Linked DNA regions of Sus scrofa. The protein of the gene in region 3 purifies or fractionates together with the protein of the main gene of each other region. This does not show direct contact. Links are inferred from orthologs where the notes say so. Each region holds a gene or a part of one and is shown on either strand. Other genes may lie near its edges. The genes, in order: MBTD1, ING3 and EPC2.

Evidence for each region.
Region 1: the proteins of EPC2 (region 3) and MBTD1 purify together in Homo sapiens (affinity purification with mass spectrometry; 3 studies listed by BioGRID and IntAct, with this or other methods). This does not show direct contact. The link is inferred for Sus scrofa from reciprocal best matches to the Homo sapiens genes EPC2 and MBTD1.
Region 2: the proteins of EPC2 (region 3) and ING3 purify together in Homo sapiens (affinity purification with mass spectrometry; 3 studies listed by BioGRID and IntAct, with this or other methods). This does not show direct contact. The link is inferred for Sus scrofa from reciprocal best matches to the Homo sapiens genes EPC2 and ING3.

Annotation. Positions count from the first base shown.
Region 1 is NC_010454.4:27,460,275-27,463,929, forward strand, and holds part of MBTD1 (MBT domain-containing protein 1), read right to left. Parts: intron 420-3,655; coding exon 228-419; intron 1-227. UniProt on the Homo sapiens protein: Chromatin reader component of the NuA4 histone acetyltransferase complex, a multiprotein complex involved in transcriptional activation of select genes principally by acetylation of nucleosomal histones H4 and H2A.
Region 2 is NC_010460.4:25,973,629-25,977,366, forward strand, and holds the start of ING3 (inhibitor of growth protein 3), read right to left. Parts: upstream 2,872-3,738; 5' UTR 2,737-2,871; coding exon 2,709-2,736; intron 2,456-2,708; coding exon 2,384-2,455; intron 1-2,383. UniProt on the Homo sapiens protein: Component of the NuA4 histone acetyltransferase (HAT) complex which is involved in transcriptional activation of select genes principally by acetylation of nucleosomal histones H4 and H2A.
Region 3 is NC_010457.5:3,432,077-3,435,731, reverse strand, and holds part of EPC2 (enhancer of polycomb homolog 2), read left to right. Parts: coding exon 1-235; intron 236-3,655. UniProt on the Homo sapiens protein: May play a role in transcription or DNA repair.

The DNA.
Region 1 (3,655 bases), on a different chromosome or scaffold from region 3:
AGAAGTGGCTTATAACAAAATAAAAGTCTTTCCCTGATGATTCATCTTAGTGAAGTGACTATCAAGAACTAGTGAAAATGAAATTTTCAGTTGAAAGAAAAAGAAAAATTTAATGAGCCAGCATCTGTCACGCCAGACCATGCCTTCTCTCCCCCGCCTTCGCTCCCCCGACCCGAACCCAGACCTTGACCCTCTGCAGTACCTGAGGTGCTGATGGGACTAATTACCTGTTTTGAGGCTGGGACTGAACTCTCGGCTAGTGCGGGGAGGTGGGAAGGCCTCCGAGGCTGTCTGTGCTGGAAGGGTTCGATATGGAGGAGGAGTCAACTCTTCGTCACCAGAGAAGCTCCTCCGCAGCCCACCTGTCATGGGTAGGCTCGACAAACTGACAGGCTTCTTCCCACTTGGCATCTTCCTCTCTAAATATCAAGTCAAACTAAAGTAAGCTTTTACTTACATGTGTGGTAAGAAAAGTGCATCATAACTAGGAAAGGCTGCATTGCATAGGGTACTCTGAAAAGAGAGCCAACTATGCAAGGTTTGCATTTCTAAAACCAAGGGGTGGGTGGGCATGTATGTGTGCGTGCGTGGGCTGCGGAATGGATGACAGGTGATTATTTCTAGTCTCTGCAAGTCCAAATCCTGGATCCTGACTCTCCATTGAAAACAAAAGAAAGCAAAATGAACTATAGAGAGCACTGAGTGTGAAGAATTAGCTGGCTAATTGGGAAAATTTTAATTTGAGGGGACTGAAAATCCACTAGAAGAGAGAGGGTTTAAAAACCCTACTTGCAGGCCAAAGTCAGTGGCTGCCCATGTAAGACAAACACTGTCCTTCAGAGAGAAATCAAACAATTTAATAAATGTATTTGACACGTGGCAGGACTTTACTGATATGAAATGTACTTCTCTAACTTTCGGTTTATAATCCACTCTTTCAGGAAAGTCATAATTCTTAATCTGAAAAGCAGTTCTAAAGTTTAAACATTTGTTGACTGCATGTTTGTAAGCAATCTAATTTCTTCTAAAACACTTTTCATTAGAGTTTCATAAGCACACAAAAACCTTCGAAGACTTACACAATGCTTTCACCACCAACAAATAATAATCTAAGCTCTGCGAATATTGAATAAACAAGCATTCTGCATTAATAGGTTGAAAGCTGAAGGATACTTACATAGCTTTGTGACTATAAATTACATGTTTTCTTTAAGAGTGTTTTTTTTTTTTTTTTTCTTACAAATGACCCAGGCAGGATCAATTAGAAATTATGCTTTGCAAAATTAGGACTAAAAAGATAAATACAAGTCAGACAGTATTCCTATGTAAAATGATCTGGAAACCAAGCTCCTATGAGTACACATTTAATTCTCAACTGCCAAACCAAAATCATTTGCAGCAATCATGTAGACAAGAGTCTAATGTACCACACACTTGGAGATAAAAATGCCAGGAGAGTTTCTACCTTTCTACTACTTACAAAAGCCCCTGAAGATGGTACAGAAATTAGTGTTGATTTTCCTGCTCTAGAATTATTAAACCTTGAGGAAAAAAAGGCTTTTCAGATTGGATAGATGACTTGCATACAATGATCCTCTTGACAGAACGTAACTCTTATTTCTCAACAGCACTGGTTAATAGTTATCCCCTCATGCTATAAAGCATGTTCATACACAGCTAATCAAAAGACAAGCTAGGACAATGAAGCCAATCTATTTCTGTAAAAAGTAAGCCCTACCAAAAGAATATACTGACGGATGATTTTAGGTACAGTAAGACCAAAGATGAAACAACAGAACCAGAATATAATAATCTGTAGACAACCTTAAAACCAAATAGGTTTTGTAGCCTGTCTGACATAAATCTGCATACAATGGATGACTTAAGTTCTTGGACCCCCCAATTCTTTCTTATTTTGGTAAATAAAGTTTTGTGTGAAAAGGTTGTAATAAACTACTTGCTGCCGAGTAATGTGAAAAAAAAATTAAAGGAGCAAAGAGTACCCTTACAAGAAGACTGCCTCTTCATGCACACAGAACTACAATTCCTTATCCTTAATTCCAAAAATTCAAAGTTTTTTCGGCACAACTTTGGCGACAAAACCAGACCTTACTTGGTATACTATTTATAACCTTTATTTAGCCCATTAAATGTAACTATTTATGCATATTTTGCTTTGGGAAATGCTGCAGAGCCTACAAGGGATGTTACATAATATATGCTACAAACAATGTACTTCTTTTCTAAAATCCAAATAATTCTAAATTTCAAAACACATCTGGCCTAAGGATTTCTAATAAGGGACTGTGGGTCCACAGTTCTTTTTTATGTCCAAAGGACAATTTAAAGGCATTGGAGATGATGTCATAATATTAAGAGCTACTAAAAGTTAAAGGACACATCATATTGTAGCTATATCCAGTTTTTCAGCTAATCCTGAAATCTAGTACTGTTATCACTAAAAACTAGGATAATGATATTACCACTTTATTAATTTCACATTTCTTCCCATGTCCCTAGCCCATTCATTCAAAATCATTACACCCCATAAGCCACAAACCCAGTAAGAGTTACACCAACTGAGGTATGCGATCTGTGCATACAATGCTCAGAAATTAGATCTAAAAAACATACATCACACAGTTACTAAGTAATAAAAAATGTTCTGAAATTCCACACATTATGGAAAGAAAATCCTGATATCTCAAAGTCTTATCAAATAAAATGTGAAAAGACAGGCCAAAGCGGCCTGTACTACTCAGCCTTAGAGAAAGCTTAGTGATCAAACATGGTAAGCAGCTGGGTGGCAAAACAATTCTGGGACTGTAGGAGGCTTATGTCTATAATATGAAAGAGAGGGTTAGGGGCCTGATGGTTATCACTACTGTGAGGCTGATATGGGTTTTTTATGCGGAGGAAACCAAAGAACCACTGCACTGGCTGCTAGAAGTTAGGTTTCTCACTGAAGAAATTATAAACAAACATTTATGATCAAAAAGATAAGGGCTGGATTTTCCTTGTGGCACAGATGGTTAAGGATCCAGTGCTGTCACTGCAGTGGTTCAGGTTATTGCTGTGGTTCAGGTTCAATCAACTTCCATATGCCACAGGGGATCCTTGAACATAGGGCAAGTTAGTTGGAAAAATCTGTTTTAATTTTAATCCTCGAATGTACTTTTTACTTAAAAAAAAAACTTTAAATAAAAATAACCATATCTCAGAGCAAAATATTCCACAAGTTTCATGAAGAAAAAAAATCTGTGGCTTCCTATGTTGGGGGAAAAAAGATTAAAAAAAAAAAAAAAATCAGAGTTAGGGCTGCACCTGTGGCATATGGAGGTTCCCAGGCTAGGGGTTGAATCAGAGCTGGAGCTGCTGGCCTACACCACAGCCACAGCAACACAAGATGCGAGCAACGTCTGTGACCTACACCACAGCTCACGACAACGCCAGATCCTTAACTCCCTGAGCGAGGCCAGGGATTGAACCGACATCTTCAAGGATACTAGTTGGGTTCTTAACCCACTGAGTCATCATGGGAAGTCCCAAGAAAAATTTTTTTTGGCCACACCGATGGCATGTAGAAGTTCCTGGGCCAGGGGCTGAACCTGCCGCACAGGAGCATTCTGAGAAAACTTTTCTTAGGTCTGATTTT
Region 2 (3,738 bases), on a different chromosome or scaffold from region 3:
TTTCAGATAGTCAAACTAGTCAACAGTGTAGACAGATGCTATATTATAGCTGCTGAATAGTACAGTCTTGGGGTCAAAACCTAATGTTACTAAGTCAGCCAAATGTGCCAAAGTACAATTTCTCATTGGATTTCTTTCAATAAGGGATGAGATAAAAAGATTTCAACCTCTTGCTATGTACCATTAAGTAGCCCATCATCTCCCATCATGACTGAAAGCAGGGATTAATCATTTATTCACTTAATGCATAATATTATTTATTCCAGATAAGCTCTTCCTGAAATGTGTGCTAAATATAGTCATTCTGCTCTATGTCTATTTAAAAATGAAAAATAAACAAAAGGGATTTTGTTGCTCTGCAAATTGAGGAAAACCTTTTTACTGTATCATTTTTGAGATATTCAGTGCGTAACAGTCCATCTCCTAACTTATTTGACAGAGATCTCTTTTGTTAATCTATAATAGCTATTAACTTTAAACAATTATTATACAAATTCAAGTTTAAAAAAAACTCTAACTTACATATTCAAGTCCAGATTACTAAAGAACTTAAAAATTTGTAATCATGAAAAAGTATAATAGCTACCTTTTATTGAATGCTCACTTTGTATCAGGTACTATATGCTCTAATTTATCTCTATTATTTTTAATCTTCATGATGATTCTCATTTTACAGACAATAAATCCCGGAGAAGTGGCAATGTGGTCAAGGTCAATGAGTAAGTTTCTAAAGCTCTAAAATAAACTCAGATTTGCTGGACAACAAAATCCATGCTCAAGCCTATACAAAACACTTCTCTAGCAAATCTTTAGCATTTCAAATACATTAAAGTTAAAATGAATTTTGTGAGCAAGCTGGAGAAACACACAACTCAGATTTCCACACTACAATCCACTGAACAGAAGGTGGCTTCCAAGACATATTACCTTGTTTCATGCACCACACGAAACTGGCAGGAGGCTGAGAAAAGAATATTTGTGAACAATGGGTATGGAAGTATGTGTGGTGCTGGTGGGGCAGAGAAGGGAGGCGGGAGGTGGGGGATGGGGGCTACCTCAAGACTACCACACTCTGAAAGGTTCTATTCTCTGATCTCTTTCCATGATACTCTTTTCCTCCTTATCACATCCCCAAACCCAGATGTTCCCCCCAGCCTTACTTCTCTGAGAAGAAAATCTGTCAGCACAAGAAATATCCTATGCATAGTCTAAACATGGGATACATGTGATCAGGAAACATCTTCTGTTGATATACCCTATTAGACTTCCCCTGTGGCCTACAGCATAACTAATGGCATTATCTCTGCAGATATACCCTATGAAGGCCAGCCATTAATATTATTTAAGCAATTAAACAGTACTTACGTTTCTCCAAACAAGAGTGACAGACAGCCAACAAAGTACACTTGATTAAACATTTTAATTATGGATCACATTATTCACATTCTTAATTTTTAATATAGGATTTCTACAAGACAGTGGTAACAGCTATATTCGTTTCACAAAGGGGAAAGGTGTGTGAGGTTCTTTCAGAGCATGATGAGTGTACACTTGGCACTCAACACTGTTTTCTTGTTTTGAAGTGTAATTTTCCTGTACTTATCTTTTTATTCTTTATAAAGGTATTTATTCTTTATCTTCTCTGAATCGTAAACTCTTTAAAAGAAACTTCACAGAAAAAAAATGATCCTATAAACTAAATACTGCTCTATGAAAGGGCCAAGTTATTTTTGGGAAAAAGTCTTCGGATTAACAAAGTATAACTGAAAGACCAAAAGCCAAAGTTTTTGTTACAGTAGACAAGCAGCTTTACAGTAAAATCCAATTTCCTTTCTCATGTTTGATTGAGAAACTATCATGCTGTTGACAATTGAGAATGTATCCTATAATGTGTAACTTTTCAAATTGGACATTCTAAGTTCACCAGGGTCTCTAAAGAACTACATATAACCTGTGCTTCCATATGCATTTCCTCTCTTGAATTTTGACTAGAATGAATTTTAACAAATACATAAATGCCGCTATGTTCTATACGTGAAGTCTCAAGTCAAAGTCTTCGCAACATTGATGCCAACGTTCACTAAAACATATGTCTACATTCTTAATGAAGGTACAGAAACTTTTATTGTACAGTCTCAAATTCGAAAAAAAAAAAAAGGTGCACATGTGCTCTGATGCCACCTTCTTTTGTAAAAGCCAGAAGAAAAGTAGCGTGGGAAACAGAAGAGCCAAGATTCGGCATTGCCGGTTCTTTTTGACAACTCCTTATGATGTACTAGCGAGGGAGCCGGAGGAGAGTCAAACAGCAGAGGTGCTGGCGTCGATGGCAAGTAAGTCTGGCACTGAACGCGCGCAGCGAACAAGGGCAAACGCGCCGACTTACTCTGCACCTGCAGATCCATCTCGCGCATCTCCGTGAAGCGGTCCCTCAGGTCCATTGGCAGCTGCTCAATCACTGTCAATGGGAAAGTCAGTCAGAAGGGCGGGGCCAACGGCGAAAGTACGCGCCGACGTCGCTGCGTGCGTGCGTGCGTGCGTGCGTGGGGGGGGCGCGAGGGAGCCGGCAGCCCACAACGAGGCTGCCAGTTACCGTGAGAAAGAAACATCCCCCGCCTCCCCCTCCCTCCCGCCAGCCCGCCAGCCCGTCCACTCCTGCTCTCGCCCGCCCTCAGGTCCCCCAGTCGGGCCCGCCGGCGCCGCCCACTCACTTTCTAGATAGTCCTCTAGGTACAACATCGCGGCCCTTAGAGCTGGGGGAGCGAGGGGGTCCAGGGGTTTATTTGTGTCACTCGCTGTCGCCGGAGTTTTGTCCCTTCCAATATGGCGCCTCCGCTAGCAGCACCCGCTCGGCTTCGGCGGAAAAAAAAAAAAAAGAAAAAAAAAAACCCACTTTGGCGCCTGACGGCGCCTGCCTCACTGCCGCCCGGAGTGGTCATTGGCTGGCTGAAGAGGTGACGTAAGCCGAGCGGAGCACGCCCCCGCGCCTTTGTGGGAAGTGTAGTTTTCGTCCCTCCCCAGCAAGAAAGAACACGCTGGTAGTCCTCCCCTTGCAAACTACAAAAACCAGGTGCCATTGCGAACGGTGCGCAGCAGAATCTGAAATGCGGTGCCTCTGTTTATTTGTTGATTTTTGCACGGGTAGTGATGGGAGTTGTATGCGCCTACAGAACACAACTAGGAACAACTTTTCACCTGTTCTTTACTGCCGCAATTCCATGTCCTGGCGTTTATGAGTCATGGATTTCAAGTAGTGTGAGGCAAACGGCAAGGGTTCTAACGCTAGAATAATCGGCAAAGTTCGGGCAATTGGAAGTGTTCAAAACAGAACTCACTGTTGGAATTTATCCTCCGTATCCGCTCCTAAAAATATAAATGGGACATCTGGTTGGCTGACATAGAACTAAAACAGTTTACACTCAGAATATTGAGTGAATTATGTATTTACCATATTAAAAGATGCACAAATGGTTCTCAGTAGCCACTGCATTCTATTTTGCAGTCCATCTAGTCGTTCTAATGTAATTGATCTATATAGCTATACCTGCACCCGAAACATTAATAAGTGAGCAAACAGAAATAACGGGTGGAGCCTTACCATCTAATTGTCTGTCTTAGCAATAACTTAACAATAATTACGTTGAGTAAATAGCCTGTATTTGACGTCTGTAGTCCAGGGCGTTGTCTTTTTCTATCTTCGACTCCTCCCCGCGTCTGTTCAGCTGTGATATATTTAGCCCT
Region 3 (3,655 bases):
AATTTCTCTCGGACCAATGCTTCCAGTAAACATTGTGAAAATAGACTGTCCCTTTCTGAAATATTAAGCAATATCAGATCATGTCGACTACAGTGTTTCCAGCCAAGGCTACTAAATTTACAGGACAGTGATAGTGAAGAATGTACCTCAAGAAAACCAGGGCAGACTGTGAATAATAAAAGAGTTTCTGCAGCATCTGTAGCTTTATTGAACACCAGCAAGAATGGCATATCAGGTAAGCTGTCACTTTGTTAAAAATATATTCTTCTATTCTCTTCTCTATAATTTTTATTATCTTCTAAGTAGACTCCGAGGTTTTATTTTGAAGGTTTATTTTTCATGATCCTACTGAAGAAAGGAATTATATCTTAATTTACTAGTTTTTTTTTTCTTCCAACCTAAGAAACTAAACTATTATCGTAGATCACATTTTAACCAAAATCAATTTATCCTAATTGATACCTGTAAAACCACTGACTTGTATTTTGAATGTGTGTGCCTGATATGGTGAATGTGTAGGCAAAATGCATGGGGAATTCCCAATGGGCAAAGTGGTTATAAGCTGCTACCAGGTTATCATAGCACAATGTTGTCTACTTTTGTTAAAGAAAATTTTCATTTTATTGTATTAACTTTGCTTAAATGTAAGCATTGCTACTCAAGAGTACCACTGAAAAGCTTTCTTTCTGAAAAATGATTTTTAAAGAAGCTCCTTTTGATAATTGTACTTGTGGTCTGATAGCTTACCTCTCTAATTGAGATTGGAAATTTTTTTTCATTTTAAGAGACTGTACTCAAAATAATGTAATAATATTAGACATTGTAAATAGTGTATAATATATAGAGAGTCTTAAATTTTGATTTGTTTCCTTCTTTTTGTCACATGTATATAAGTATGTATAATTTATAAATGTCTTTATAATGTATACATTGCAAAAAATTCATGGTATCCAGAGGCAAAACTATATGTGATGACATAAACAGTTGATATCCTTTCTTTCTGTAAAACATATATATTTCTAAATTATTTACTGGATGGTGCAGTTTAGTATGCAAAATCATTATGTTAAACTTCTTCAAAGTGAATTTAAATCATTTTAGCTTGAAATTGGTCTCAATAATGTTCAGTCTTTTTAAATTACTGAACTGTTTATTTTCAAACTTGACTTAGACATTTATCTATTTAAAGGTTGTAATGGAAAATTGGATTTGTTTGAATGATTGGAAGTTGGCATATCATTTCTCCAAATTAGTTGGTTAATTTTCTCCCAAACGAATTTAGGTAAGGAAAATGGCATCCCGTTATATAAAGTTCATGAGTCTGTGCAGTTTAATGAGCCTTTGAAACTGAAATGGATAAATACCTAGTATGATTTTGATGGTAGGATTCTTCGAAATCTAAAAATAGTAGGAAGTTGACGAATATTAGGTCAAATCTTTTCTTCAGCCAACTCCAAGACATTGTTCAAATTAACTGAACTAGAATTTCTGTGCCAAAAATTACAATAATTTTTGCCAAAAAGGGAATTTAAAAACATCACGTATAGGCATTTATAATTAGACTTGACTATAGATTTCTTTCTCTACCAGTGTATACCATAACAAAAAGGTGATTTTAATGTGTCCCGTCTTACCTTGAACATGGCCAGATATTTGCAGCTTTCTACTATATGTTCCTGATTCATTCCAGATCTGTTTGACTTGATTCTTTTCCAGAAAATATATGTTTTGTGTGTTATTGTATCAGTACTCTGTTTGTATGGATTCAGAATGTAGTGTAAATAATTCTATAGAGTCAGCTCCAGAATTTTATGACGCTTCTGCACATCAACATAAAATAAGCATTGAAAGTATTATTTTAGGCATGCATGCCTTTCTCAGGGAACTTAAATCACAAATATGAGATGCTAGGGGTTCCCATCATGGCACATTAGAAACGAAGCCAACTAAGAACGATGAGGTTTCGTGTTTGATCCCTGGGCTCGCTTAGTGGGTTGAGGATCTGGTGTTGCTGTGAGCTGTGGTGTAGGTCGCAGACGCAGCTCAGATCTGATGTTGCTTGTGGCTGTGGTGCAGGCCTGCAGCTGCAGCTCTGATTGGACCCCTTGCCTGGGAACCTCCATAAGCCACAGGTGTGGCTCTAAAAGAAAAAAAGATATGAGATGCTAATGTCATAGACAGTAAGAATTTTTAAAATTTTTGCCCTTCCCTTGCCGTTAGAAAAAAATAGTAGTTTTGGTCTGTGCAATTTTTCCTGCCTTAGGTATATTATATAATAGTACTCTGTCTCAATTTACCAGCTCCTTCTTCTCTTAAAAAATTTCAAGGCTTGAGCAAGTACTAAGCTACATTAGAATCAATATTTTCAAATCAAGTCCTTCAAATAGATATTTAATATTCCGTTACTAGTGTAAAGGATTTTGTTTGAAGTTTATTTGACACTCTAGTCATTGAGGGTTTTTTTGCTATTTTAGGGCTGCACCCTCAACATGTGGAAGTTCCCAGCCTAGGGGTCAAATCAGAGCTGTAGCCGATGGCCTGTACCACAGCCACAGCAACGCAGGATCCAAGCCATGTCCACGACCTACACCACAGGTCACGGCAGCGTGGGATCTTTGACCCACTGAGCAAAGCCAGGGATCGAACTATGTCCTCATGTATCCTAATTAGGTTTGTTAACCACTGAGCCACAAAGGGAACTCACAGGTGTTTTTGTTTTTAACAGATTTATTTTGTTTCAAAATATTAAGCATGATGTGTAAGTATATAATGAAACAAGTCCTTTAACAGCATTTTTGTAGATAACTGAAAAGCTGTGGCAGTTTTAAGTACTCATCTGTACCAATTACATTCATTACATAGTTTCTCAGTTTAAGTGGATTCAGTTATAGTTCAGTAATTATTGGTAGAAATTCCTTTTCTACCTAAAGAGGATATAGGAATTTTTAGAAAGTTACATTTGTATATTTGATGGACGTATACGAAAGAATTGAATCTTCGTGTATTTGGTTTCTTTTTATCTATGTGTCTTTAACGTTTTTGCCTTCTGCTTATTCTCAGGAGATCATGCATGTCTCTAAGAGTAACAAGACTGATAAAGGACCATACTTTTACCTAGCAGAGAGTGTCACTAAGCTAGACAAAATATACGGAATTTTCTGTTTCACACCTGGGAAATCCCAACAAATAAAGGGTTTAATCAGAAATAGAAAGATGATACACTTGACAGTAATATTTATGTGTATCACAGGTTCCTTCATTCTTTTAAAAAACCCTTGAGCATGAGGGCTCATGGCAAAGAATTGTCTTACTTTGATGTGGTTATTTAATAACCCAGTCAATGTTTTTAAGTCATAATCCCTGTGTCCTGAATATATTCTAATTATTATTATTTTTAATAATCATATGAGTGGACTTAAAGGAGAACAAATTGAACTGAGTGTCATAGGTATTAGTAAGAGCTAAAACTAAAGACTTCCTTTTAAGTGTTCCTGCTGTGGTTCAGTGGGTTAAGAATCTGACTGCAGTGGCTCAGGTTACTGCAGGAGTTCGGGGTTCAATCCCCAGCCCAGCACAGTGGGTTAGAGGCTGCTGTAGCGTAGGTCGCAGTTGCCACTCAGATTCAGTCTGATCGCAGATTCAGTCAGGTCGCAGT